4 linked regions of the Drosophila melanogaster genome follow. The gene in region 1 interacts genetically with each later gene. Each region holds a gene or a part of one and is shown on either strand. Other genes may lie near its edges.

Region 1 (6,079 bases):
CTATTGAACAACCCCGGAGTTGCACTCAGTCAAAGTCGTATCATTCCATTACAATCACCGAAGAGATTGAACTTCCCGAAGATCATAGCTTAATTATGCCATCAAATGGTTTTGGCGAAGCCGAGGGCGCGGACTTAACCATTTTTCAAGAGCTTTACCCCAAAGATGGCACACGGAACTCACGTAAGAATTCTCAATTCAATTGAAAATGTAATAAACTATTTTTTTGTATTATAGTAAAGCGACACTCAATAGCTCAGGATCCAACTGACATCTTACCGGATAAAATGCCCAGATTGGATGATTGCGATGTTTTCCAAGCTGACAATGCTATCATGACCCAAATCTTTCCGCATAACATTGAACCAGCTGAAGTAACTCAGATAGTTTGTGAACCGTCGTTGCCATCCGTTTTAAATTCTTTTGGAGAAATAACATTTAGCCACCCGAAAAATCGGAAAAGAAAGCTAATAGTAGACAAACGAATTGAATACACCCGGGAGCAGCTGGTGAAGCATAGACAGAAATATATGGAAGAATACCTTTCAAGGAATGTGATAGTGCCAAAATCCTCGGATTTACGGAAACCCCCTAAGGAACTTCTCTGTAAACTGTATAATAAGTAGGAGCCTTATACATTTTGCTATTTAAAACTTTTTAATTTTTTGATGTAGTGTAAGTTTTTTAGCTCTTCATAACCACTCCGGACCTAAGCTCAGTAATGAAGAAAAGGAATTCGAGGCAGAAAACACATTGAGAACCATATTTGGCTGCGAGTTTACCGAGAATCTTTCTAAAGAGATATTTGTGCGACCATCGCAGGCTACAAAATGTAGGGATAAAGCGGCACATATCTATCAGCCCGAACCGCTTGAAGTGGAAGACTGTGTGCAACCTCAACTTCAGCCACGTGATGATGTAAATCAGAATTATCATAATGAAATGAATGAGCACGGCATATACCGTGAGGATAATCATGATGGTGAGTTCAGCCAATGTTTACAACATGCTATCGTAAATAAAATATAATCTCATTGCAGATACCTACAGCGTAATGATGAGTCTCTTAAGCATTTGGCGTAATAATCCGAAAATCACGGGAATCGATGCCATTGATTTTATAAAAACGTTTGATAGTCGCATCAAGGCTTCGTTAGCCTTTCTCCATTTGTTGTGTGAGTTCGAAAAAGAACAAAATGTGTGTTGGAAATAACGTATAGCTTAAATTTCAGATCTTGTTCGAGACCATTTTATAGAGATATCAAAGCGAGCTAATTCGCTGGAAATGTACCAAATTACTCTTGGCAAAGAGTCCGCTAAGCTAATAGACAATCTTATGCTGAGTGAGACTCTGTGAATATTTTTAGATAATTTTTTTCAAGATTACCAAACAACTTTGTAGTTGACAATCTTCCACATTTTTGTTGTTGTTTTGTTTTCTGTTATTGCTATTGTGTTATAACATATAAGTTGAGCCAATCTCTAACCTAGATGGCTTTAATCTACTCTTTTTCCATACAATCTTATGGTACAATTGAGCAACGATGTCCTGGATAATTCGTTTCATTTCAAGAATTGAAAAATTCTATAGATGTTACTTGTTGCTGTCTATAAAAATAGTTTTTTTTTCATTATCATATTAGTTTCGTGTACCCATTAAAAGTTGTTTGTTATCTTTGTTACTATTACGTTATCGTAGCTATAATTCATTAACATTTGGAGTAATTCTCTAAACCGTAATTGTTGTCTTTGTTACAAAATCTCAATTTCTCTGACAACACCAAAAAATAAACAAGTTACAAAAACAAAGGAATACAGAGTGTTTGGCACAATTGCTTAAATTCCGATCTGCTGGGCCAGACCCGAATAGATGTGCAGCGTGCAGAATCCAATGACGGCCGCCACCAGCGCTTTAACAGCCACCGTTAGCCAAGGTCCAATGGTCAGAATGTGGAGCATGCCCTCCAGCCAGACGCCTTTGAAGACAGTCACCGCCAGAAGTAGACTAACCAGCGGCTTTAATGCCTTGTTCAAATCGTGACGGGTGAAGAGCCAGATCAGGGTGGCCGTAGTGATGTGCTGCACCAGAAGCACGTTCGATTCCAGACACTTGAGGATGTAGATCCAACTGAACTCGGTGCCTCGGGCACCCACCCACAGCATGATACCTCGGGAAAGAATCACTTCGGCGGTGGCCCCTGCGGAAGTATACGAAAATATTTAGTTTTTACTAAATTTTTGGAAGTTGTCATACATATATGGGTTGGGGTATTAAAGGTTGAGTAGGCATTGGCTCTTGTAACATTAATATATCTGAACAGAGTACTTTTCAATCTTTAAAAGCCACCCTCATCATTAATTAAGTTTAAATAAGTTGGTTCGTTCAACCTACATCCAAGTCCAGCCGTTATGAGCTTTGAGTGGCCCTTGCCGGGTATGCGACTCAAGATTAGGGCGAATCCAAGCAGATCGGCGATGTCCATGCTGCAGCGAAGAATCTCCTGCAGACCAAAGAAACCACAACATGACCTCAATAATTGGGTGAAGGTAAACAAAGATAAGCACACGTACCGCAAAGAAGTTGAACTCGCCGCTGGAGGATGGAGCGTCCGAGTAGAAGAATGTGGCCAGCACCAGCATCTTGACGAGCTGTGTGAATATATAAATGCCTCCCGCCTGCACGCACTTCCAGAAGGCTCCATATTCTGATCTGTGATTAAATAATAAGCCGGGAAAGTTCACAAATAGTTTTTTATTGACCTGGTAGAGCTGCGGACTTGGCAGTCGGCAAATCACCAGTAACCAGAAGTAAACTCACAGGCCGGAGTATTTATAGGTGAAGTAGTACGGCGTCAGCAGGGCCACACAATTTCCAAAGTGATACAGTGTCATTTTCTTTGATAAATTATGGCTATTTTATTTTGGCTTAATTAAGAGAAGAATTAAAAGTTGAAAAGAAAAAAACTAGCGTTGCTTGCCGTGGGTTATCGATATGTGCTTAACAGGGCTGACGGCATGTCAGGCAGACTATAAAAAACAAGCTAGTTTTGCAGACAATATTTTACAATAAATATTTTAATAATAACTATTATAAATAAATATTTTGAAATATTGGAAAACGTGTGTCTTTCCGAACGAAAAGAAGTAGCAACTGTTTTAATCTGTTTCGTGCCTATCGATAGTTGCTTAAATATCAACACGTCATCGTAATCTATCATCTGGAGGTGTGTTCGTGTGTGTGAGAAGAGTGTGTGTGTGTGCGTTTGAGTGAGTTTTCTGCAACCTTTAGCAATTATTATGAATTTTTTGACAAAACCATTGGGAAATACTTGAACGGAGACCAAATTTTACTTTGTTTAGGACACACAAACCTGCCAGCTAAGTGACGAGCCAAACATCAAACGGTAAACCAGTGCATTAAAGGAGAAAAACAAAGGGGAAATTTTCGCAAAGAAAAGTCCAACAGATCATTTCGTTCGTGTGCATATGAAAAACAGCAACGTCAACTCCCTGGTAAAAGCTGCAATCTGAAATGAGATGCAAACCCGAAGACGCCTTCATCAAACAGACCAGCAGGATTACAGCAGTAGCAGTACCTATACCATTCAAGAGGATCAACAGGGAGGAGCAGGCGCAGGATCTGTGGGCACGGGAACAGCTGGCGGATCGGTAGGACTATTAGCACAGTCCCTGGTTCCACCACCAACTGGTCACGAGGCGGCCATCCACATTGGAGACAACTACCAGTCGGGCGATTCCATTTCCACTCCCGATTACTCCGACGACAAGTACGGCAAGGCGGCCCGCCAGTGGAACCTACGCGCCTTCTCGGGCCACGCACTGCGCACTTTAAGTGCCGCTGCCGCCGTGGTCACCGGCAATCAACCGGGCATCAATAACGATAGCCAAAGCAACTATAGCTACCCCGCTTCCATTCCGACTAGTTCACAGTTTTACCAATCGAAGGAGGAGCCGCAGGAAACGGAACCCGAACCAGAAATATTCGTCATGGCCGCACGCGATCGAACGGGCGAGTTCGCCAATGCGATTCGTTCCCTGCAGGCTCGAAATATCACCCGGGCAGTGAATATACGCGATCCCCGCAAAGCTAAGCAGGTTCAGAGCTACTCGGAGTTCATGATGGTCGCCAGGTTTATTGGCAAGAACATAGCCAGCACCTACGCAAAACTGGAGAAGCTCACAATGTGTAAGTACATGTTTTAGTAACCCCTTAAAGTCATATTCAAAACTTTAAAATTCCCATCTTCGTTTTAGTGGCCAAAAAGAAGAGCTTATTTGATGACAGACCGCAGGAGATTCAGGAGCTGACCTATATCATCAAAGGCGACCTAAATGCCTTAAATCAACAAATTGCCCGACTGCAGGACATCTCCAAGGATCAGCGGCGTCACACAAACGGCAAGCATTTGGTGTCACATTCCTCTAACATGGTACTGGCCCTGCAATCGAAACTGGCCAGCATGAGCACGGACTTCAAGCAAATCCTGGAGGTGCGCACGGAGAACCTCAAGCAGCAGAAGACGCGACGTGATCAGTTTAGCCAGGGACCAGGTCCGTTGGCCGCGCACACCGTCTCCCCCTCGACAGCCAAGCAGGGATCTTTGCTTCTCAGCGAGGAAAACCAAGCGGTCAGCATAGATATGGGGAGCAGCGATACCACACCACTCCTATCAACCCAGACACAGATGGCCATCTACGATGATTCCGATAATTACGTCCAGCAGCGGGCGGAGACCATGCAAAATATAGAATCTACCATCGTTGAGCTCGGCGGAATATTCCAGCAGCTGGCACATATGGTTAAGGAGCAGGAAGAGATCGTGGAGCGTATTGACACGAATGTGGCGGATGCGGAATTGAATATTGAGGCTGCCCATGGGGAGATCTTGAAATACTTTCAATCCGTCTCCAAAAATCGCTGGCTGATGATCAAAATCTTCGGCGTTCTCATATTCTTCTTCTTGTTCTTCGTTGTTTTTATGTCGTAATCAAACGCCAGTTGCCCATTAAAAGCCCCATGTACCTATCCATGTATACAGCTTTTTATTTTAATCAAGATTCAATCACAATATTGTTTATTCCAAGCTGTGGCCTCCCGAAACGATTGTAAAATAAAGTTATAAATACGTTCTAAAGCAAAATACATTTATTTTAGCATGTGGTTCTTTGGTGAATTTTTCCATTCTAATGGAAGCTCTAAAATTAAATATAATTTCCAAAATATAAAGCCGAATGATAAATATGTTTGCTGATGTAAGAAACTTGTATATTACCTTAGAAAACGTGTAATGCAAGTATCAAATTGGAGAGAGACTATATCTATGTTTGCCCTGCTGATAAGGTTTAAGTGCCCTTTCATAATCTTTATTATCTTAAGTGCTCGTTGCTCCATGTTCGTCGTGTTTAGCCAAAAATTCCGCTGTCCCTCATGCTAAACAGAAAAATGAAAATTGGTTACATTGATTTGACTTTTATTTAATGCTTAAAATCCAACTACACCAAAGATGCGATATGCAAAAAATAATCAAAATAAAAACATGTTACAATCTCTTACTGCAGAAAAGTATTACAAATTGTATGAAAAAAACAAAGCTTCAAGATGTCTTTATGGATTTACACTAGAATTTACAAGTGAAGTATTGTTCGCGGTTGATGGGGACTCTTCCCCAAAAAAGGAAGTCCTCTACCCGAGTTTAGACAACTAATACACGACGCTGATGCGTTGGCGCCAACACTGAGATCCCCAGGCAAGAGCTTGCCTATGTCGAGATGAGCGAATAAACCATGCTAAAATTAGCAATTAGAAACGTTAGACAAATGAGGACCCTGGCCACAATGAATCTCAATTAGACTTACCCGTATATGTAGTAGAAGAAGCTAATCAGATAGACGGCCAGTTTAATCCAACCCTCACGCATGTTCCGGTACAAAGTATCGGTTTTCAGGACCGTGGTGGGATCATAAAGTCCGGGTCCCGACATCACAGGGCGGTTTTTGTAACTGAAAGCGATAGGGGTATTACAAAGCATGAGTGCTTAAGGGTGCTTATGTTGGGCTT
Region 2 (8,623 bases), on another chromosome or scaffold:
AGTGAGCGCCTGGCTTAATTACACAAAACAGGCAACACGAGAGGCAGTCAGGCTCGGATCGGGTGGATATATACATATGCACTATGTTCCCTCGCCGGCGGCGCAGTCTTCGCTTCGAGTCTGGATCTTGAACCGGACCACTTTTGATGGACATGTGTCTAATGAAGCGGCCTAATTAATGTGCATAGCGGACGCGAGTCTCGGCCCTTTGGAGGGAGCATGCAAATGGGCTGGCAAGGAGTGGGAAGGAGGATGCTGTGCGGATGTGGAGTGTTGAAAGCCTTGAGTGGTCAAATTCGGATGGGACAAGAAATTACCGGCATTACGCTAGGCCGGCCGACCGGATAAATTAATAAATGTCGATACCCAATTAAACTGTCCGAATATAATGCACGCTATAAATTTGTTGTGCAACCCAGAACGAATAGAGACATCCACTATCCAATTATCGAGCGCATGATTAACTGCTCGAGGTCAGCGGCAAGGAAAGAAGAAAAATACGATATTGCAAGTAATTGCACAGCCAACCCAGCAGAAGAGCCGAAAAGCGGGAATTCATAATGTGTGCCTAGGTTTTAGCAAACGGAACGAAACTCAAGAATATCATAAATCACAAAGTCGTTTAAATTGTAACGGTTGCAGTACATCGAAACCGCCAGTCAATCGGTCTATCGGTATTTTTATTAGCCATAAACAATACAAATATTAAAGTGACATATATGTACGATGAAATTTTTTCTGCATTTCATGTAGTTAAAGTCAAGGCATTAAAATACTTGATGGATAAAATAGTGTGCAATTATTTTTACTAATTTTAAGTTTAGATATTTTTCAAAAGTGGCGCGCTTTTTTTGTAATAGCCAAGTGGAAAAGCAGTATTTTCAAATGGAAATTTGGTTACACTATCGTAATACGAAGCTGATAACACATACATAACGAAGCTGATAACACATTGGTTCGGAAAATAATGGCAATTCAAAATATTAATATTATTTTAATTTTAAGCTACCTTATAAAATAATAAAAACTTACAATATAATGGTTTGAATTGAACCACCGTCTTATCGAAACTTCGACCGTCCCTGAAATTTAAAATCGATCGCAGTTATCGCAATCGATTTTAGGTGGATAACATAATATACAAAACCATTTTGTAAAGAACAGCTGATACAATTTGACCATTTCATATCCAATATAATTTCTCCATAAAAGAAGCCAACCCGGGCGCCAAGATGGTCAACATCACTTTACCCAACACTGAGGAGCGTGTGAACCTCTTAAAATCGCGCATCAACAGGCTGGGTGACATTACGGTGGCCGGCGATGTTTGCGCACGCGAAATTGCAATGAAAACCAAAAATTTCACGGAGGACGAGCTGTGCCAACTGGTCCGAGAAGCCCTCCATGAAGCCATTGTCCGCACTCACGTCACCAGATGCCCGAAGGGCCTTCAAGTCACTCAGGTCGATCTCCTGGCCGCGGTAAAGATCATTCAGCCACGATTTGGCCGGCAGGAGGAGACTCTCCAGCTGCTCATGCCATATGAATATCTAGATCGTACCGCTTTCGATCCGAATGATCTCCTGTCCACCGGACGCCCAAGATGGTCTTGCCATCTGGTCGAAGGTAAGCCCAAGTCAGGCCTAACTACGGTGGCCGCTCAAATGGCTTTGAAAACAGACTGCCCTTTTATAAAATACATCTCGTCGGCCGAATTGCTGGGACTTAGCGATTCCGAAAAATGCCAGAGAATACGGGAAGTCTTGGAGGACGCCTATGTTTCCAGGCGCAGCTGCGTCATCATTGACGACTTTGAGCGTGTCATTGGTTACGGCGCCCTGGGTAAGCGGTACTCCAAGGAGTTCCTGCAGAAGCTGACGGTTCTTCTGAAGAAACAACCGCCCAACAGCCACGAGCTCATCATCATTTGCACAAGCAATCGTCTCGATGTCCTGGAGGAACTGGGCTTGCTATCCGTTTTCACTTCAGTTCACAATGTGCCAAATGTTTCCACGCCTAAAGAACTTATGGTCATAGTGGAAGCTTCAAAACGATTCGAGCCCGAGGAGCTACGCCAAATCGAGATCGCCATGGATGGCCGCAACGTCTCCATTGGCATCAAACGGTTGCTTGACTTGATTGCGTGGGTGAATTCCCTAAATCCCGACCGTCGAGCTGCCAAATTGCTGAAGAAATTGGGCGAAGCAATGGGATGGGTAGGGAACCATTCTAGTCCACTTGTACCTCAATACATTTAAGACGTTAGGTTAGGAAATGCAATATTGTATCTACAATTCCAGGAAAATAATTCCAAGTGATTCCAAATAATTCAGTAATGCTTTATATTTAAAAGAACCACGTAAGCATAAAAAAACCATCTAAAAAAATAATATTGCATTATTTTTTGGATGAACTTGCTTCCATTGCATTGCAATGTTCTTAAGACTAAAATGAACAGCCCGATAATGTGATTGCAAAGATACTAGATTATTATATTATATATATATTATATATACACCAGGCCAGACCTCTCAGTGGCCTTCGCCTGCTGTACGGAGAGCATTCCGTCCTCCAGGAGTTCGGTGACCGGTGGGCCCAACATCTCCTGGGCTGCTCCAAAGGCGGGCTTGATGTCGTTGTCCAATATATATATATATACATAATTATATATATAATATATATTATATATTATATATATATATTATATTGTTCTAGTGTCTTTGGTGATTGGCATAACAAGTTTTATTACCATATTATATATATATAAGTAAAAATAAAGATATTTGAATTGCAAATGCCACCCATTTTATCGTTATTTACTTAGAGGATTTGGCTTTTGATACAACACATTTTTTGGATTGTTTTCTTCACCAATCCTGGTGCTGCAGAGCTGCTTAGCAACAGCGAAGAAGTCTTGAATGCGGGGGATATATGTATTATTAGAAAATGCAAATGCGCGCCAATGAATTCAAATTTGCACTGCAGGTGCCGTAGCAGGCATCTTTTGCTCGCAATCACAGTGCATACACACACGCAATGCCGAACAGGGTTGCACTCCCTCAACGGGCTATCAGCTGTTTGAGACAATTTCGGGATTATATTATAAAATTGCTACGAAAATGTCAATTGAAAAAGCCCACCGGATGAGAGCGATCAAATGCCCAACGGATGAGCTGTCCCTGACGAACAAGGCGATTGTGAATGTGTCCGATTTCACGGAGGAGGTCAAGTGAGTGTTGGTTTTTGTTGTTTTTCCACTTCCTACGTGGGCGTACGAGCCTATGGAAACTTTCGCTTATGCTAATGACGCACCGCTTGATACCCTGCAGATATGTGGACATCTCGCCGGGCCCGGGGCTGCACTACATCTTCGCGCTGGAGAAGATCAGCGGGCCGGAGCTGCCGCTCGGCCACGTCGGATTCTCGCTGGTCCAGCGCAAGTGGGCCACGCTCTCCATCAACCAGGAAATAGACGTGCGGCCGTACCGATTCGATGCCAGCGCCGATATCATCACACTGGTCTCCTTCGAGACGGACTTCCTGCAGAAGAAGACCACCACGCAGGAGCCCTACGACTCCGACGAGATGGCCAAGGAGTTCCTCATGCAGTTCGCCGGAATGCCGCTGACCGTCGGCCAAACGCTCGTCTTTCAGGTAATGGTGTGGATGTGGCTCCCCCATAAATGTATGCAGTATAGAAAAATAGATAGCAAAGGACTGAAACTAAGGTAGTAATCTGGAGAGGATTAGTGATATATGCCAGAGCCAGTTAAAATACTACCCAATTCAATGAGGGTTCTCGGTTTATCTCGGACGCACCTATTCATTATTTCACCATTTATTGTGTGCACTTATAATAATTTTGGTTTTGTATAACTTTACAAAAAGATTTATACGTTCATAGCATAGCGGTAGTGAGAATATTCGTTATTTGTGTTATTCGATATTCGTTATTTTATATTTACTGACGTGTCTTGATTGTCATGAGATGCTGAATCTCATATTCCACATTTAGACGGTGACCTAATGCAAATATTAACAAGGTAGCTTACCTCCAACAATTAGAAACCCAAAGACACGTAACTCTCCCTTAGATCATCTTTTTGGCTCTCTGCCAAATCTTTTTTAATAATTCAGCATACAATGTCCCCCTTTTTTATGAACTAAAAATAGTGTGTTAGGCTGCCCTCATAGGAAATGCAACTATCTTAACATAGTAATTCTTCTAACATGCTCCTTAATGTACATATATCGTTCGTTTGCTAATAAGGATGTTTACCGCCTTTCAGTTCAAAGACAAGAAATTCCTGGGCCTCGCTGTAAAAACGCTGGAGGCAGTGGATCCCCGAACAGTGGGCGATTCCCTACCGAAGACTCGGAACGTACGATTCGGCCGCATCCTCGGTAACACGGTGGTGCAGTTCGAGAAGGCCGAAAACTCTGTGCTAAATCTGCAGGGTCGCTCCAAGGGTAAGATCGTGCGGCAGTCCATCATAAATCCGGACTGGGACTTTGGCAAGATGGGCATTGGTGGCCTAGACAAAGAGTTCAATGCGATTTTCCGACGCGCCTTCGCCTCTCGTGTTTTTCCGCCGGAACTTGTCGAACAACTGGGCATCAAGCACGTTAAGGGTATTCTGTTGTACGGACCACCAGGCACGGGAAAAACCCTGATGGCCCGGCAAATAGGTACCATGCTGAATGCCCGCGAACCCAAGATCGTGAATGGACCGCAGATCCTGGACAAGTACGTGGGTGAATCAGAAGCCAATATCCGGCGACTGTTTGCCGAGGCCGAGGAGGAGGAAAAGCGCTTGGGACCGAACAGTGGACTGCACATCATCATCTTCGACGAGATCGACGCCATTTGCAAGGCTCGCGGATCCGTGGCCGGTAATAGTGGTGTCCACGACACGGTCGTCAATCAACTGCTAGCCAAGATCGACGGCGTGGAGCAGTTGAACAACATCCTGGTAATAGGAATGACCAACCGGCGGGACATGATCGATGAGGCCCTGCTGCGACCTGGACGCTTGGAAGTGCAAATGGAGATCAGCTTGCCCAACGAGCAGGGTCGCGTCCAGATCCTGAATATCCACACCAAGCGGATGCGTGACTTTAACAAGATAGCTAGCGATGTGGACAACAATGAGATCGCGGCCAAGACAAAGAACTTCAGTGGCGCAGAGTTGGAGGGTCTGGTTAGAGCGGCCCAATCCACGGCCATGAATCGGTTAATAAAGGCGGACTCCAAGGTATATGATGCACAGCATGGCGTGAAAGCAAAGAAAGGGGGTTCTCTTAATTCACATTCGGATCGAAATGTTATTTTATTTATTTGGCGTATTCGCTTATTTCATTTATCTCTCGGTTTGCGTTTCGGGTTTCGTTTAATTTCGAGTAATTTGGTTTCGATAAACCAAGAAAGCGATTAACGTTCGACTGTTCCACTATTCTAAAATTACCATCATCATTTGCTTTTCTACGATCCAAGGTTCACGTGGACCCGGAGGCTATGGAAAAACTGCGTGTTACGCGAGCCGACTTTCTGCACGCATTGGACAACGACATCAAGCCCGCCTTTGGAGCAGCCCAGGAGATGCTGGAAAATCTGCTGGCACGCGGAATTATAAACTGGGGCCCACCGGTCACCGAACTCCTGGAGGACGGAATGCTCTCCGTACAGCAGGCGAAGGCCACTGAGAGCTCTGGCCTGGTGTCTGTTCTCATCGAAGGAGCTCCCAACTCCGGCAAATCAGCGCTGGCCGCTAATCTGGCCCAGTTGAGTGATTTCCCATTCGTTAAGGTCTGCTCCCCGGAAGATATGGTAGGATTTACGGAGTCAGCCAAGTGCCTGCACATCCGCAAGATCTTCGACGACGCCTATCGCTCCACATTGAGCTGCATTGTGGTGGACAATGTGGAGCGATTGCTAGACTACGGTCCAATTGGACCCAGGTACTCTAATCTCACGCTGCAGGCGCTATTGGTTCTACTGAAAAAGCAACCGCCAAAGGGTAGAAAACTGCTGATCCTGTGCACTTCCAGCCGGCGGGACGTTCTCGAGGAGATGGAAATGCTCTCGGCTTTCACGTCCGTCCTGCATGTGTCCAATCTCTCAACTCCCGAGAACGTGCTTGCCGTGCTGGATGATTCTGATTTGTTTAGTCCCGAGGAGCTGCAGAGCATTGCCAGGAAAATGGCGGGTAAGCGATTGTGTATCGGCATCAAGAAGCTGCTGGCTCTCATCGATATGATCCGGCAATCGGAGCCTCACCAGCGGGTTATCAAGTTCCTCAGCAAAATGGAGGAGGAGGGCGGTCTGGAAATGGATAGGGTGCAAGGGCACTAGCTACGCCTTTAAATTAATTTACATTCCATTATCAAACAGCAGAGTGGTTCGATTTGATTGATTCAAACTGGAAAAACGGTTATGTGTTTACAATTAAAAATATATATATATGTATTAAAACAAAAAACCGTTACAAAAATACTTATAACCTTTTGGGAAAAAAGTACAACGTAATATAATATAATAATATATTCCCATATTTCAAAATATCTTACTTGCAGAGTGGGTTTCTATAAAATTCTATACTTTCGTGAAACTTTGAAATTAGTTGCCTTCAAGCCTAATACACAGAACCGGTGACCACTTTTATTGTTTATTAGGAAGTGTATAATTTTATAAACTCATATTCTGCAAATCGAAGAAATCGACCCACCCTAGTGCAATTTTATGATTGTGTTTTTTTTCCCGCTATCAAAAGGGAATCACAATGATAGGTTTCAGCTGCAATATAATATTCTAACGCTATACTTCGCTTAAGTTCCACTAAAAAAAAAAAAATATAATAAAGCGTAACTGAAGACCAACTTGTGAGATAAAGTCAAGTAATTTGTAAGTTTTGAATTTGATGATACCAACGAACTTAAAGTACTCGCATTAGCGACTAAGGATAATCCGTCGGTGTCCACCATGAAAATCTCAGTTTGAGTGCACAGACTTACATAGAGAATTTGATACCAACATGATGTATTTTATAAGGATTTTACGGATATTGCATTTACCATGATAAATAAAAAAGACAAAAATCCGATGATGCAGCCCTAATAGATTGATCTTTTAAATCAAAATTGAATTAAGATGCTTAAGCGTTATACCGATACTTAAGAACTATAATTCTGAAAGTTATTTTACAGAGCGCACAGTTTTGAATACGTGTGATTTTTATTTACATGACTTTTTACCAAAAACGAAAACAAATCATTTTTGTTATATTTTTCTTTACATCCATAAGTGAGATCACTTTGGGTTTGAAAACTAGCTAAAGAAGGTGCATGTCTTAGCTACAATTTCTGAATTTCGATCGAAGCTTTTCGAAAAACACGAAATATATGTGAATCATTTGTAAATGGATATGTCTTTTATGGATAAACTTGATGTGTACCAACGGGATAACAAACTAATTTATGTAATTTACCCAATAGCTAAAAATAAATGGAGTTTTCCCAAAGACTATGGTCTTTTTAATAAGAACGGCTGAAACGATCTTTAGTCAAAAATATATATAATGCAAATTGATTGATTGCCTTTTCTTTTCGTTCCAGGACACATTAGTTCCCTTGGTAGTTTCGGAGTGTAGCAGCTTGAATTCTTTGAAAACTCCTATTTATTTAAATATTGTTTTTTCTCGGCGATCGCCGCCCGACAGCTGTCCGCTTGGAAGGCGTCAAGTGGTTATCATACCATGTACTCACCCGATCCGATCCGATCAGTCCGATCCATCGATCAGCTGTTCGCGACAAGATCCGACGCCGGAACCCAATCAGAGCAGTGGTCAGCTTGGCCGAGGTGCTGACCACAGCCAGTCGGTCGGCGTAATATGCAATTTGAATAAATGATTTATAATGAAAACACCTTAGCGGCGCGTCGTCTGCGTATACGTAATGTGGAGCGGAGTGGAGTGCCACACTGCTCGGTAATTGATATATGGCGCTAATTGCGCTCGACGCCCATTTGTGGTCCAGTCCAGCTTTATCAGCGGCAGTCGTCTGAGGAATCCTGGGTAGCCATAGCCATAGCCAACAGTCATGGTAGCACCCAAAGCCATGGCCATGTCGCGACGGTGTCAGCTGCTAGTCAGCGCCACTTATTAACTAATTAAAGCTGCATATTTGCAAAGATCTGAAAATTGATTTGCATTGCCAATTGCCCCTGGAACTGCTCGACACAATCATGATTTTGCCCAAAGGGTAGGGGAAATTCTGGACATCGTGATCGTAAAGATTTTCACACTCCAAATATACATTGTAAATGTAAGGACTATTAGTAAGTCTACGTATAATTGAAACTATATGAAAAGCAACATGATTACTAGGGTATGCCCCTGCATAAGACTTACATTTTAGTCTAATGCCTTATTGGTCATGTGCAATACTTGTGATTTTATAACCCTTAGATGGGTTAAATTGGCATGCCCACAAGGTTTTTAAGCTTTTATAGTTTATAAATGTTCCAAAAGGTGCATTTGATTTGATTTTTTTATTTAAGACATACGATTTATACCAACAAATATTAAAGACGAGCTTTGCATCTTTATTTCTGCGGACTGTGACCGAG
Region 3 (9,632 bases), on another chromosome or scaffold:
AGCGCCCAACGATTTTATCGCGCTGGCCGAGATTGTAACAATATTTGGAGATCAGGCGATACGGAAGACGGCCTTGGCTCTCGACCGTATGATCACCCTGAGCCAGAGGTCCAGGCCACTGAATCTGCGAAAGTTGTGCCTGCGCTTTCGCTATCGTTCCGTTTTTAGTGATGCCAAGCTCCTCAAGAGCTACGAATCTGTGGACGGAAGCTGCGAAGTGTGCCGGAATTGTGATCAATACTTCTTCAACTGCCTATGCGAGGATAGCGATTACTTGACAGAGCCACTGGACGCATACGAATGTTTTCCACCCAGCGCCTATGACCTACTGGATCGCCTGCTCGAGATTAATCCCCATAAACGAATTACCGCCGAAGAGGCACTAAAGCATCCATTCTTTACGGCCGCCGAGGAGGCCGAGCAGACGGAGCAGGATCAGTTGGCCAATGGAACGCCGCGCAAGATGCGTCGACAAAGATATCAAAGTCACAGAACGGTGGCCGCCTCACAGGAGCAGGTCAAGCAGCAGGTTGCCCTTGATCTGCAGCAAGCGGCCATTAACAAGCTGTGAAACTAGTCCCCACCATGCAAACATACATACACCACTTGTACATACATACATATACTATACCCAGTTCGCTGATCATGATTGTACATATATATAGACCCACCTCAAGAGCATATCTCATTATTGCACCCAGAGCCAGAAGAAACTCGTCCAATGCCCCACTAGGCCACATTTACTTACCTCAAGCCGCAGGCAGATAAAACCAAATGAAACCACGCAACAAACACACACAACACTCACAAACAAACATACAAATGTATATTTAAAGAAATGTTTCAATCATGAACAAAATGGGCAAGGAATACCAAAAAAGCAAACGAGGAGAGATTGATTATGAAATATTGTGGCCGAAAGGCTACAAAATGTTGTATATTAAGGAACACGAAGGCGACCCAAGTGCATGGCCCTCATCGCCCAGTGGCAAAGAATTTTGCACTATCCCCATCATGTATAGTTCGAATAGTCTTGTAGCTAACCTACTTAGGTATAATTATTGTATATCTGAAAACCATGTGAACGAGGATATAAGAGCGACAAATACATATATTTATACCGTGAAGATTGAATGAAGGCCTTGATTTTCTTTGCTCCAAAAATGGAAATTTGTGCAAATTATTCTTTATTTGCTTAAACAAACAAATGCTTGGGGATTTTAGTACGCATATTGTTGTTACCGTACGTTAAATTATTCATTATATTTCAGTTGCAAATATAGGACTCATAAAATTAAAGTGTAAATTTAAATGACTCACCCTTTTCAAAATAAATCCATGCAATTAAAGTTGTACATTATTTAATTTCACATTTATTGAGCACAAATCACCTAAAAAAAAATATAAAAAAAAACACAAATACTCTCACATTTTGATGAGCCATTTCACAACAAAACACTCGCGATGGCAAAATGCACAAGATCACCGCTCTAAAACGTAGCATACTCTTAAGTGCACATGAGAATGCCAGTTGAACACGCACCAACACACCCACACACGCGCCAACGGAGAATGAGCCCAAAGGAGAATGAGGAAATTGCAGAAATTTACCAATTTCACCCGTTTAAACTAGAAATACCGTATCAAACGCATTGCGTCGACCTGCGCTCACTGGTTAATTACACTTTGTAGCACTTTTCGACAGCAAACGACGCTGATATTTATTTAATTTTAATTTTAAAGCGCGTCAGCCATCGCATTTTGTGTTTACCGCTGCTCACGGACGAAGAAAGTGACCGCTTGCGGAGAGAACTTGAACTTTTGAGCTGCAGGAGAGAAATCAAAAGAACGGTAAATAAAGCTTTGCCGCTTGGAAGCGTTGAACTGCTTGTTGTTTAGAAGCTTGTTGATCTTTCGCCACCCTTGCGCGCATTAAATGAAAATTAATTTTGAATCGATTTATATATGTTGGAAAAAAAATGTATTTAAAGAAAGCAATTGGAGGTAAACAGAGTTCTGTGGGAGGGGGGTGAAGAAAGTCCTGTCCCCGAGGGCCTTAAAAACTAAGCTAGATCAATAGATTGGTTCATCCTCCTCGCCTATGTCTCCATTTTCTCGACTTTCTTGCGCTTCGTTTTGGACGTCGATGGCGAATCGGTGGCATCTGTATCCTCGGGCACCACTTCCACTCGGATCCTCTTGCCAGCGACCACGTCCTCCTTCGATGGCTGCGTTTCCATCGCCCGCTTCTTGGGCTTCACGAAGCTGCCACGTCCCGCGGCGCGTTCCGCCTCCTCGATGCTGTACGGCTCGATCTCTAGGGCCTTGAGACGCCTCTTGTGCACCTTGGTGCGGAAATGTGCCTGCATGGCGGTGTCATCGATGAAGTACTTGGCACAGTGCACGCAGTAGAACTGCGCGAATCCCGGCTTGTCGAGATCCACATTCTGATTGATCAGTTCACCGCTCCGGGTCTGCAGATCGTCGTCGATCTGGTCGAGATCACGACGTCGATTCCGCACACGCCATCTCCTCTGCAGATGGGTATCGCCATAGTGCATCTTCTTGCGTTTCGATACCATTCCCATCTTGCTGACTTTTTTTTATATTTACAACTTTTACGGAAAATTTAATCGTTTGTTTTGGCACGTGTTTTGGTTGCCAATGGGGTTTTAGATTCTGCTGCTGCTGCTAGGTGTTTCCTAAAACCTGTAATGCATTTGAATGTTAATTTATATACTGTTACAGTAATTTGTTGCTTAACTTTACCTTTTTTTGGTTAAGAAACGAGGGTTTTAAAGGTAACAAGTTAATTTAATGCGCACATAGAATGTTGGCGACGGTCCCCGGCCGATTGGTTTCTTATCGATAACTGAAGAAATCGTGGTGTGTGCACACTGATACACAGCTGTTTTTATTTATTCGAAATAAAACTAAATTCAACCAAAACTAATTAAACTAAAATTCCATAAATTAGCTACTTGTTGCGACAATAAGTTGTATAAGTTACTCATTTTTAAGCTGCACTCCATCTACTTCGTCTTTTACAATACTATTTTTTGGCATTATTTAGTGCCTTTTCGTAGGCAGCGCACTGTTAAATAAAAAAACATATGCTTGCAATTAATTCATCAACAATCGTGCGAACAAGTTGTCTGCGGGCGGACCGTGCGCATTTTGTTTTAATATTATTTATTTCCTTGCCGCAGGAAGTAAAGTAAGCCCCTAACATTTGAATACATAAACATAGAGTTCGGTTTAACTTGCGTTGATAAAGTGCAATTGATAATACAAATAGTGGGTGTGTGGGCTGGACGCACACACACATGTGTGATTGGATAACAACACTGTGAAATAGATCGGGTTTTACACTTGCAAAAACGATTAAAGCAATTATTATTTTTCATAAGATGCTGCAGCCGGTCCACTCTTGCTATCTCGCTTGCTTCAAAAGCTCAGCGTTTGCAGTGAGTGTGTGTGCGTGTGTGATTTAGCGCAAAAAGCAACAACGAAGCACAAAATAAAATCAGAAACTGTGATTGTTGTTAAATGACTGGTGCAGGGGGTTGGGTGGGTGTCAACGGCAGCTGCATGCATTGTTTAAAATGTACGACTGTTGGCTTATTGGCATTTTTCGTTGACTCTCTGTTTTTAGCTAGACATTCCGTTGAGTTCGTCACTTAAACCGGTGTTACAGCATACATACATACATACATTGTAGATTGTTACAACTCGAGCCAATTGCCCGCCAATTGCAGTAAGTACAACAACAACAAAAAGAACGCGAAATGCGTGAAATAGTATAAACGAAACTAAAAACAAAGCTTAGGAGTCCTTATCGATAATCAGCGATTGCATACCGATTGTGATTATCAGTGCCAATCGCTTATCAGTCAATTATACCGTTACAAGCACAATTAACCCTCTATCTGTGTTCGTGCGTTGAGTGATATATGTATGTTCGAATTCAGATCAACAAACTCTCTCCTACTCTCTTTTCTTTACACATGTGATATAATAGCTCCCCCGGCCTGCAATAGAAAAAAAACACACGCACTCTCGCCGTTTCTCTCCCATTTGTTGCTGCAATACATGTCGGTCACGATTTGACATTTCGCAATTGGTGCGATTGTGAGTGTGTGTGTGTGTGCAGGAGCAGAGGATGGGGCTCTCTTGGCGGAGATCAGCTGATGAGATGAAGCAACGGTTAATGCCATTTGTCCATGCAAATAAACAGAAAGAAAAAAGTTTACGTTGCTAGATCGTTTAAATTTCACTTGATATTTGGAACTAAATTAAATTTTAATTCAATTCTTATTTTAATTCTTTAATATAATATGAATAATGAATCACACTTCATCACGTCGTGAAATTCCATTTTCAAACTTATATCAAAATATCTTAGCTATTTCGCTGAGTCTTAGCATTTAGCATAATAGAAATATTACTGGTAAACGCAGATTATTCATTATTACTTGCCCAAAATAGAACTAGAAAATATACAAATCTTAAACAATATTTAGTGATAATGGTTTATTTCATGATAAGAGTAACAAATGCTTTTCTCTCTGTGTAAAGGCAAAGCTACTAATGCAGGCGAATAAAAGCGAGAGTGATAGAGGTGAATAGGTCCAACCGGTTTGGTCCCAGTGCGTTAGTTTTCTGCTGTTTAATTATCAGAGGCGCTGAAAAGGGGGTTCCCATTGCCTCCCAAAGAAAAGCGCCCAAACGATTTCCTATCAGGGATTCCATAGAAACCAAACAAACCACAGAATGTTATTTATAAACCACGCAAATTTACCCTGAACTTTAACTTTTCTGTATTTTTGCACCAGAATAATAGTTTTTATAGTTTTTCCCCACCGCCACTGTGTTCAATGATTATTTCCAAATCGAACTACAATTGCTGCATCCCAGAGTAGCAATTATGTGGCGTATGTTCTCTGCTTATGGGTTATTTTGAAAGTCGTTGGTTGCCGTACCGATCTTTGTCTTGAAAAACAAATTACTACCGTAACCGAGCTAATTTTCCTTTCATTTCGGGCCAAAACCGAAAATAGTGGCAGCCAAGCCAACCAGTTAACCAGTTGTGCCAGTCCAGTTCAGTTGGATAACTATTGAGTTCATCGCTTGAAGGCTAAAGCAATCCGTTCCTCAACAGATCGCCGCATTAAGAGGTTTTAAATGTACACTTGTTTACCTATTTTTATAGAAATTTCGCTCCTCAGAACAAAAATGCCAGCGAAGCGGGTTTTTTTTTTTTTTTTTTTTTTTGTACCACGAGTGGATTTCTAAAGCTCGTTTGTTTGTTTTAATGAGATATGGGATGAGATTGATTACAGTGAAAAGGGGGAGGAATACGTGTTTTAACTCTTCAATGGAATTGGCGAATGTGATTGCTTGCAATATTAATGCGGACTGGATTATTGTTTCGACCATTTCAACTTGACGACAGTTGTCCACATTACGGATATCGAAGGAAGTAGGCCACAATTTCAAAGGAATGGATCATTAGTTGGGATCATTTTTTAGAGGTTTTTGCCTATGTATGCCTAAACTCATATCAGTCAGCCGCACATCCTGTCATAGCAGCGAGCTTCTTGGACTGCATGCCACAAGTGGTTCGATATTCGAGCATGTTTCACTGATTACTTTGCAATGTGGTGTCGTCGCAGCACCTTATCACTAAAACTGCGATATTAACTGAATGCGGTGAACCACAGACACAGAGGCAAACAAAAAAGTGAAATAAATGAAGTATCCAGCACTGTTTAATTATGGTTCGCAGTGTTCCCATTTGCAGAAGTGGAACAGCAGTTGGTTGAGTCGTTAGCGACCCATTATAATCCAGGTTAATCCAAGGTCAGATATGGTGGTAGTTTATGGCGGGGGTGTGGGGAATCGGGTGTCGGGTCTGCCTCACGCAGTTTCCTGTGAATGGAGCACGCAGAGTTATGTGTGGCATTTTCATTTCACATTCCCCAGTTACACAGTTTTACCCAGCTACACATTTCGCATTCGTCATTGGACATTCCCTTCGAAGATGTGAAAGGGAAAGGGCGGAGGTTGGATTGTTCAGAGATTGACTTTCTAATTGAGATATATCGGTTTTTGATGCGATTTGGGGCTTGGCAATTGACCCGCAAAAAAAACACAAACTTTAGACTTACAAAAATAAAAATAATATAAAAATGGTCAATATAATATATATGTTACAGTGTTTATATTAGATAGTAATAACAGCTTAGTTGCAAGATTGTTTTGATCTTTAAACCTTTCATGGGGAATTTATATAGAGAAAGCTCTATTATCTTGGCCGCCATTGTAGCCATTGCTATCATTTATGTACATTGTTTATTATTCACTTACGAGTGGCAAAGACTTAATGCGACTTTCACTCCGTTCTTCTTTGCAGTCATTAATCGCAGATCCACAATAAGAAGTCGGTTAACCAGCTGCTATGGACCACGCCCATCACAGTGCGCCCGGTGTTGGTAGGTGTTGTGTGATTTGGCCAAAACATTGAAGATGCCTGCTTAGCATCTAGCATCTTATCTATATCATTCGCAATCCACAGATCACTCGATGCATCACGATCATGTGGGCATGCACCACGATCACAGCGGTATACCTGCTGCGACAGCGTCTCCAATGGATGCAGCTTCCATGTTCGACCTGATCCCCGATACCAGCGATTTGCAGGCAAGTCACGCGGGTCACGCCGCTCACGGAGCGCACAATCATGGCGGTGGCTCTGGCACGGGAATGGAGCACATGATGCCCATGGCGGTAAGAGAACGTAGTATTTGAAGAATTTTCATTTCTAACCAAATAATGTTCCTCAATCGTAACAGTTCCATTTTGGCTACAACGAGACGATCCTGTTCTCCTGGTGGCACATCGAAACAGTGGCCGGTTTGATCGGCTCCATGATCGCCATCTTCCTGCTGGCCCTAATGTACGAGGGACTGAAGTACTACCGCGAGTATCTATTCTGGAAGACATACAATCTGCTGGAATATCGACCTGTGACGGGGCCACAAAGAAATCCGGAGGCACCGCGCATACCATCGCCGGCAGCGGCAGCTCCATCGCCCGTTCAGTGAGTTTCGGATTTTCTGCTACCCATTGTAGAATGGAATGGATCATATTGGATCTTTGGTATCCCCTTCGCATGCCTGTTGCCCTTACCCATACTGTAGCTTTGTATCTATTGTATTTACTTAACTTGTTGTATATATTAATCTTAATGCTTTCTTCTCTCTTCTCGTTTCGTTTTCGTTATGCTGTTACCCGTTAAATCGTTCAAATCGTTACCGCTACCGCTTCACATTCTGATCAATACCATCAATATCTCTATCTGCATCATCATCAATGCGCGTCGTCGCTCTTCATTTGTAAATTGAATCATCTCGACAAAAAAAAAAAAAAAAAACTAAACGAAACCCAATTCAAAACCAAATTCATATCGATACGGTCTGCCTCGTTAATATCGTATAATTGGCCATTGTTGTGATTCACGCGACCGTAATTGAAACTAAACATATATATATTGTAACTCAATTTGATTCTGTATCTGCATCTGCATCCGCGAATCGCATCCGCAATCGTGTGGTGTCCCTACTCCCGGCACGCTTCGATCGATCCTTTCTTAGATACGTGGGCGAAGTTGTGCACAAGCAACCGTAAGTATCGCTCCATTGACCACACCATATGTATATGTACACCACTTGACCACCTGCCCAATCAATATACATACATACGTACATATGTGTTATATAGATTACCGTCTCTGTGTAATTTTGATGCCTCACTACAATTTGAATTAGTTAAATCTATTTAGCTGTTGTTGGCTATCCGATATGTCCGATATACCCAATGCGCCAGTTAATGGGAAAAAGTTAATGGAAACAACTGCGCTCGGCGGCGACGATGAATCCGTGTCGGTTTACAAATTGGCCCGTCATTTGTACAGAATATCTGGCTGGACCACAAGATATAGTATTACACACCTGTAGCTCAAGTTGGCAATTAATCTAGAGAGAATCTAACCCTAATCAATAATGGTAGTTTAATCTAACAATGGAAATTCTTAGAGCAGCTCAGCGATATATAAATATATATATATATATATAGTCTTTAGCAATACTTAGTTCTGTTTTGATTTTTGTTTACGTTCAATTATGTATATTTTCTTGTCCTGCTAATTTTGTTCGATGTTTGCTTTAATTATAACTAAATGTAAAATTCTTTCGATATGAACAGACCTTCGATGCTGTCGATTAACCACCTGCTCCAGACACTGCTGCACGTGCTCCAGGTGACGCTGTCCTTCCTGCTCATGCTGATCTTCATGACATACAACGTGTGGCTCTGCCTGATGGTTGTCCTGGGCGCCGCCGTTGGTTACTTCCTCTTCTGCTGGAAGAAATCGGTTATCGTGGACGTAACCGAGCACTGTCACTAACAGAGAACGACTCCCGGTAGCCTAAGTCGCTGTTGTCTTACCGAGATGGAAACGGAGACGGAGGCGTTGGAGGAGCAAATGTCCATCTGAATGAAAGGCAGAGGCATTGGTGCTAAGCTGGGAATCCCAGGAAGCTCTCATCCCCACAGGAAACGAACACACGCATATATACACACGATCGCACTTCAACAAACCTTGCAGCAATTGCAGCTGTTCTCTAGGTATTAGCCTATAAACTAAACTAAATCGATGCAACCGCGCTGCATCGTTTACAATCTTTAAAATATTGACATCAAGATCAAGATAGTCTATGCTATTAGTAAAGAAAAAAGTGTAATTATATAAAAGAGAACAAATTGAGCGACTGGCTAGCGAATTGTATAAAGTTAAGCAATGCAAATATTATTTTTTCCGTTGCTACTCAATTTATATATGTATGTGCGCAGGATTCCCCCAAAAAGCAAATATTTTTTTTTGATCATTACTACTGATATACACCATTTTGTAAACCAATTATACGATTATGATTATTATTATTTTGTAATAAACTTCATTGTTTTTATATAAATATATATATATATAAGATATATATTTCACTTTTGGTTTGTTAGTCCCACAAAAAGACAACACTGTTAAATTTGGCTTCCTTGTGAAATGTTGACTTGGCCGCGAATGTTTTAAGGCTTGATTGAGTGTATGCTTCAACAGTGCGTTTCATGAGTGTAATTGGTGTATGCAAAGGTTAGCATCGATTTATGCTCTGCATTTACGTGTTGTTCAGGTTCAACTGATATTACCTTAGGCTCGAAAACAGTTACTGTATTATTCAATTAATTTTAACTGCTAATTGTAAATTGTTGTCTGTTTGTTTTTTTTTGCAAGTTGACTCCGTAAAAACAGTCGTACGATTTTTGCTCAATCCGAAAATGGCTGTTGTGAAATTGCTTTCCTAAACGAATGGCCGGCCATCCCAAGTGCATATATATTTACATACTATGTACTGCCTTAATGTCCCGAAACGCACTGTAAGCAGCATATGTTCACCTGATCCATTGAAGTGCGTAAATAGATGTTGTAGATATTAAACTTAATGCAAATACATACAGTAAAGCGACAAGAAATTTATAAATACTATTAATATTAAATATATATTAAATCTACATAT
Region 4 (6,561 bases), on another chromosome or scaffold:
TCACCTCTTTCGAAGCACATTGATGAATGAAAAGCGTTGGTGAGAGTGGTGGTGAAGACAGGTGAAAGGGGGGAAAAACGCAAATCGCCGATAAGCGATGAGTATGCGGAGTTCCCTTGGTGGCTGCACTTTTTAGCTTGTGATTCATATTCCGCTGTTGCAATTGCATTTGTATTTGCACATTGCGCTGGTTAGGCACTTTTCCGGCCGAAATACCACCCTCCCCCCACCACCCTTCACAGATACGTCCCTGTTCTTCCAACTCCAAGAAGAACCCCCCTTCTGAGTTTGGTGTGAAATATTTACGTGTAGACAACATTCCACTAACTGCAGTTGCAATGGCAACTAAAGTTCCCGTCCGGGCGAAGCAAACACCGTTTTCCACTTCTCCTTGGCATTTTTACCCACATTTATTTTCGGTGCATTTCCGCCTGCCATTTGCCAGGTTGCCTTATCCTACCTGAGTTTAAAAATATAAAAATAAATCTGAGGGAAAATGGTTGGCACTGCAAGTGAAGTACCCTGGAATTGATACTGCAAGCAATATATGTACTAAGATATGAATAACAACATCTAGTCGCAGTATAAACAAACCAAATATCATTTTAATGACCAAAAGTTTGAGTTTTCCCATTGAATAATTACGTAGCTTCACTTGCACCATTTTCCGAGCAATCCGACTGGTCAAGTTTGTGTAGAAACCCACACCAGATGCATGTGAATCCCAATAGACTTTTGCACCCTTGGCTGCTCCATCGAGGGTATTTGGTAAAAGGAGTTCCTGCGCTATTCATCTGCGCCTTAGTTCGAGCATAAACATTTCCTAAACTTTTATCTAATTCAGCAAACTGCAGCAACAACGTCAGCAGCTTCATCCATTTTGCAAGATTCCCAAGACATTTCCACATTTTCCGACTCATTGTTCTTGTTGTTATAGTTATTGTGTGCTCCATCTTTGGACTTTTGTTTTTCTTTATTTATTGTTTTTTTTTTGTGTGTGGATCTCTTTTTTCGCATTTTTAGCGTGTTTCAAGTTGTTAGGCATTCAACTTTTCACATCGCTGCTCTGCTTATTTTTTGTTTTTCCGCCGCGAAGGTTTTTCCTTCAGCCGACTGTGTGTTGTTTTTTCGGACTTTTCGTTTCGCGTCGGTTTTGTGCAACACACACACACACACACGCCACTCGAGTTCTTTGTTTGTGTCGCTTTGAGACTTTGGGGCGCCTCAGCGTGGCGGGGGCGTGGCTGGTCGGTGGGCAGTGGGGGCTGGCGGGGGTGCAACTTCGAATGGTTGCATAATCCGGCAATTTCTTACGGAATTTATTCAATTTCTGAAGCACTAACTAGCAGCATATATACTTGTTATTTGAAAGTTAAATTGATTAGCTTAAAAGTTGAAAATATTTGTTAACATTTTTGGTTCAGAAAAGCCTAGTTGCACAACAATTTTTTACACACTATTTCGCTTCTGCACTGATTTATGAGCTCTATTTTGTATGCGTTTGTGCGAGTGAGTATCTCAAAGATACCATCAATGTATCTGTATCTGTATCTGGAGTGTGTGCGTGTGCACCTTGGCCGACAAGACAAACTACAAAACTGCTTGAGCCATTGTCTTGCAACAGCTCAACTTGAAATGTCTGCCTAGATTAATGCGAATGCGAGAGGGTCTGACACTAATGAAGGTCAAAGGTGATCCAAAAGGGAAGAGCGGTGAAGGGGTGAAGGGGTGAAGGGGTGGTGCGGAGGTGGAGACAGCTTAAGAATGATTAAACACTATAAACTGTTGACTTCTGCGCTGGAAAATGGGGGAGAACGACACAAATCAGTTGCTGAATTTAATAGCAGTCAGAAGTTTTGGCCAAATTTAGTTCAGCAAACGGAAGCAAATGGTAATTAAAGTCTTACAACTTGGATAGTAATTTTAATTCACAGCTTTCCTTTGATACAAATATGACTTGGGAAACTTTTTTTTACCATATATCTTTAAAACTTTTTCACTTCTGCACACGTTAGTAAAAGAAAAGTGGCCCGAAAATGGGTAAACAAAACTAAGCCACCCTGAAATCAGGTCTTTGGGTCTTTTTTCGACTTTTTTTCATTTTTTTTTTTTGTTTGTTTCGCTATATTGTTTTTATTTTCGGCGTTGCCTCTCTCACTCTGACGCGTATAAAAGCAAACTTGACACATTTAAAAACTATATATTTACAAACAAAAAACGAACAAGAGACACGAAAAATTAAAATGCATTGCGTATGATTTTTTCAAGAATAGCCAACGCATTAATTTTTTCGTATTTTCATGCACTCGACAAAAACTTCACCAGTGACAAAAGCCCAAGGCAGCCCCAACTCCCCTGTCATTTTGTCCATGATTTGTGCATCTGAAACGGATCTTGGTTTTGATTTCCATTTCGATTTCGAGACTTTGGCACTTTTATGTTTAGCAAAAGTTTCACGAGAATAGAAAAATTTCGGAAAGTGAATAAAATTCGCATCGTTGCGATTGAATGAAATACTTTTCGAGGCTGCGTAAATAAATCAAAGTGTAAACAAAAGTGAGCCAAATGTGGCGTCTTCTCGCCCTGGAGACACACGAACTTGGTGGGTTTGGTGGCAAGATGGATGGCCAAACTGGGAGCTCCGAGGACCGCCCACACGCACAGACAGACCCTCTCCATCGATCGTTGGCCACTCCTGCCTACACGCACATGGGTTTCCATTCGAAAAGAGACAATGGAAATCGAATAGCCAACCAACCAGTAGCTAGCTGGCCAAGAAGTTCTGGCCAGAAGTTGGCCAGAAGTAGCACTTGTCCGAGATCCCACAAAAGATATCGAAAATGGAGCAGGGCAGCCCACACATACATATATATATAAAAACCGGGTGACCCGGGGGAGATTTCAACGGAAAGTGCTTGCCATTTGCTGACAGCTCGGGCGCAAACGGTTTTTAGTTAAATCCGCGCTCCACGTTGCGTATACGCAATGTGCGACTGGTGGCTGGCTGGGTGGGTGGGAGTGGTTGGTAGCATTGCAGTTGGCCCGTTGCAAACGGCAGCAAATACGGATGCCGAACGACAAGCACAGATGTTTTTACAACCCAAAAGATACAAAGCAGACAGAGATACTGATGCTGAAGCTGCTGCCGCACTGACAGATGCAGATTTACATGCACTGAAAACAAAAACTGCGATGGCTAACTAATAAGATTGGTTTCTGTTATAAATAGAGGATGGATATTAACGGCAGTAAAAGAGAATATTATATATTCAGTGCGATAATTTTTCGCACCATGAAGTACACCTTTATTTTTTGCAGTGCTCGCTCTAGTCAAATACGTTCAGCTCAGCATGGTTGAGTTTGGAGCTGAGTTTTGCCAAGTTTTAAGCCGATGGATTTATTTTTTTGGGGGGTTTTGCCGGGATCTCCGTGGGTGAGATATGGAATAGATGGGGGATTGAGAGTGGGAATCCTAGGCGGGGGGTGTTATGACTTACCGAGGGGGGTGATGAAATGGTTGACTCTTGTGCAGGCCATCCGGGGGGGGCAGGATTATGTGAACTGGTTGCAGCTTCTATTTTTTATTTCTTTCGAGGATGAGCGACAAGTTACTGCGGCAGTCGATCCGAGCAGTAAATGCTACGAACGGTACGAATGTTCGGTGCTTTTCCACTAAGTTTTTCCTCGGTGGTTTTTCTCTACTTTTCCAGTGAACCGTTAGTTGCGCGTGCTGCCGCCGGTTGCCGTTACAAAGTACCGTTCACAACTGAGCTCGTTTTTTATGCGGCCCGATACTTTTATAGATTCGCAAAGTGCCGGCCTGGCCAAAAACCGAAAGGGGTAGAGCCTCCTTACCGGAGGGTTTACATGTGCACAGTCCGCTGTGTTAGTTGTGCGTGTGTTTGTGTGTGTGTGCTTTTTTTCCATTTTGCACCCCTTTCGAAAAGCCGGCTCTTGCTGGCCAAGGTAAGAAACCCCCCCCCCCCCCTGCAAACCGCCTCCCCCTTTTAAGCCACCCTTTTGAACAATAAAGCCAGGTGCAGCAAACATGTTCGAGGTTCGAACGCGTTGCCAAGTTTTCCTTTGTCGTGGCTTTTTGCTTTTTTTGGCCACCATCCGGTGAACGGTACACGCAAAGGAGTCACGTGAGGAAGTGAGATGGGGCGAACGAGTGAAAGGGAGAGGGATAGCCAGGAGCCAGCTGGCTTTTACCGGCAGCTGCAGGTGCGACAGAGAAAGTGGAGAGACGGAGAGCGAGAGGGAGACAGTTGCAGATGCAGCCGCCGACGGATAATTAACAAGTCACTTATTAAGTTAGCATCTTTGTCCCCTTAATCCATTTGTGAAACAGTGTTTTCCCTTTTTGGCTAATTAACTCAATTATTGCATTACCAAATGTGAAACAATTGGGGGAAACAAAAAAAGCGAGGCTTATGCCTCAAATTATATCTGGCCAATGTTTTTTCGTTTGCAAACTGATCTTGGTACTGTAAAAAAGTAAAAGTTTATGTATAATTAGATAGATTTGATAAAAAAAACACCCAACGTTGATTTCTTGCCCCTGATAAATAAATCAAAGCACTTCGGTCGCAGCTGCTGTTTTCGCCTTGTTTATTGGGTGTCAATAGGTGCATCCATCAGATACAAGACACGAGATACAAGATACAAGACACGAGATACGAGCTACCACCAGCCACGAGATACTTATTTATGTGGGCTATCTCTGGCATCTCTTGGGACCAGTCATCTCTTTTGTATCTGAACTTGTTAACATATCGAGTATAATTTTGATGTGTTGTGGCCTCCTTCCATTTCCCAGCTCAAATAGCAAATAGCAAACAGCAAACATCGAAAGGGCCCAGATACACTTAACAATTGCAGAAACATCTTCATCAAATGGGCCTCATTCTGCTGCCGCTGACAGCTGATGAGGGCGCTGCCCGACCCTTTGTACCGCCCTAGCCCCCTCTCACTCCCACACAGCAGCTATCTCGCTCGCTCGCCCTGCGAATACCACCTCGAATCGCGCAGATTGGATTTGAATTGACTTCAAGATGAATAAGGTGGCAGTTGAATAGGGTCTATGGACCCCCTTTTTTTATGAAATTAAGGGTGCCAAGAGGATAACTGTTAATATAATATAGGGGTGCTGTTTGCAATTTGAATTAAATGCAAGCTAGTTACTATAAAATAACTAAAACTAAGATTAAAGTTTCTTCCACATTACTAGATAGTTAATATGAAGAAGGTAGCTCGATAATAAATTAAAAAGGCACCAAATGCTTTGGTTTAAAAGTTAGCACTAAATACTAGCAACGACTAAAAAGCTTATAATTAATATCTTGTGCCGCAAATGTTTTTCCAGCGCGACCAAAGAAAACACTTTCAATTCAATTCCATTACGCGCAGTCGTAAAATAGAAAACACAGGATAAACATTTGCCCATAAAAATTGCATGGGCTAAAAAGACAATTTTTTAAGCTGTCATTTTTTTCGTGTTTTGTATATTTTTTTCCTCGCTCATTTTCACTCTTGCCCATTTATTTTTTTATATTTTCTTCAACGTGTTTAATTGCACAAAAAAAAATGAAGAAAATGAAACGAAAACAAAGAAAAAATCATAAAAGCCAAAAATAATACACACAAAAAACAAGGTGAAAATATTGCGCAAAGCAAAAATAAAAAATCACAAAAATAACAAAAGAGGCTACAACAAAAATCAAACAAATTCAAACAGCCAGCGAAAAGCAAAGGCAAAAAGCGATTTATGCAAAACACAGATAAGCCGAAAAGTACAGGAAAAAAAAACAAAGACGATTAGGCGATTTAACGCACGCAAAATAAAATCCAATAAAATGTGATTACGGTTGGGTGGAGGGATGGAGGGGGAGCGAAAGGGACGGGGCGAATCGAACAGATGTTCGAACAACAAAAACATCAAAAATAACAGTGACATGCAGTGACGTAGGCGATGAAATTTCGGGGGTTTTGGGGCAAAAGCAAACACCTGAAATCATTGAAATGGAGGGGGGTTGAAGAGGGGAATACTTAATTTATTAAAAATATGCCTAATGTGTTTAAAGGATATTGATTGCAACCCCCCTCAAAATATCCTGCGAATGCCACTGTCGCTTCGCCTTCAACTTCTTCTCGTGCGCGTTGTTGTTTATTTTGTTTGCTGCTCGTGCCAAGGAAAGAGATGGCTAGCTGCCAAGATATCCTTTGACAGGAAGAGAGCGAGGAAATCAAGGATTTCGGCCAACTAGTTTTTCGGCCTCACCTGCCTCTGCCACATGCCGCTGCTCAAATTTCGTCTTTTTTTTCGCACTGCCTCCGCTTCTTTTAACATAAAATAATTATTATGACATGCACCGTCCCTCCGAACCCCCTAACTCCCTTTACCCAGCGTCTGCTTCCGTTGCAGACGGCTGAAAAGAGAGGGCAGGTGGCGGAGCGACAGGGAGGGCGATATAGGCATTAAAAACTGCAGAAAAAAAAGAACGAGAATCGAAGTACAGTAGCATAGATACTATTTAGATTCAGTATCTTAAACTAAGCAAT

What was found.
Region 2: of Syx5 (region 1) and Nsf2, changing one enhances a phenotype caused by changing the other (phenotypic enhancement), as found in Drosophila melanogaster (one study listed by BioGRID).
Region 3: of Syx5 (region 1) and Ctr1A, changing one enhances a phenotype caused by changing the other (phenotypic enhancement), as found in Drosophila melanogaster (one study listed by BioGRID).
Region 4: of Syx5 (region 1) and ru, changing one suppresses a phenotype caused by changing the other (phenotypic suppression), as found in Drosophila melanogaster (one study listed by BioGRID).

What each region holds. Positions count from the first base shown.
Region 1 is NT_033779.5:16,304,123-16,310,201, forward strand, and holds Syx5 (syntaxin 5), read left to right. Parts: upstream 1-3,223; 5' UTR 3,224-3,537; coding exon 3,538-4,207; intron 4,208-4,275; coding exon 4,276-5,009; 3' UTR 5,010-5,152; downstream 5,153-6,079. Other genes in the region: c(2)M (crossover suppressor on 2 of manheim), read left to right, coding at 1-183, 238-622, 675-982, 1,041-1,175, 1,233-1,357; CG5861 (uncharacterized protein), read right to left, coding at 1,837-2,198, 2,393-2,501, 2,572-2,710, 2,819-2,892; cni (cornichon), read right to left, coding at 5,781-5,808, 5,878-6,021. UniProt on the Drosophila melanogaster protein: Mediates endoplasmic reticulum to Golgi transport.
Region 2 is NT_033777.3:13,832,409-13,841,031, reverse strand, and holds Nsf2 (N-ethylmaleimide-sensitive factor 2), read left to right. Parts: upstream 1-3,040; 5' UTR 3,041-3,119; coding exon 3,120-3,229; intron 3,230-3,329; coding exon 3,330-3,654; intron 3,655-4,289; coding exon 4,290-5,255; intron 5,256-5,494; coding exon 5,495-6,352; 3' UTR 6,353-7,535; downstream 7,536-8,623. Other genes in the region: CG31495 (uncharacterized protein), read left to right, coding at 1,233-2,258. UniProt on the Drosophila melanogaster protein: Required for vesicle-mediated transport. Catalyzes the fusion of transport vesicles within the Golgi cisternae. Is also required for transport from the endoplasmic reticulum to the Golgi stack.
Region 3 is NC_004354.4:6,658,585-6,668,216, forward strand, and holds Ctr1A (copper transporter 1A), read left to right. Parts: upstream 1-3,062; 5' UTR 3,063-3,217; intron 3,218-3,655; exon of another isoform or gene 3,656-3,757; intron 3,758-5,079; exon of another isoform or gene 5,080-5,177; intron 5,178-6,415; 5' UTR 6,416-6,460; coding exon 6,461-6,494; intron 6,495-6,577; coding exon 6,578-6,789; intron 6,790-6,854; coding exon 6,855-7,102; intron 7,103-7,655; coding exon 7,656-7,685; intron 7,686-8,265; coding exon 8,266-8,467; 3' UTR 8,468-9,044; downstream 9,045-9,632. Other genes in the region: Cdc7 kinase, read left to right, coding at 1-571; CG3224 (uncharacterized protein), read right to left, coding at 2,100-2,588.
Region 4 is NT_037436.4:1,367,817-1,374,377, reverse strand, and holds the start of ru (roughoid), read right to left. Parts: upstream 3,751-6,561; 5' UTR 3,498-3,750; intron 1-3,497.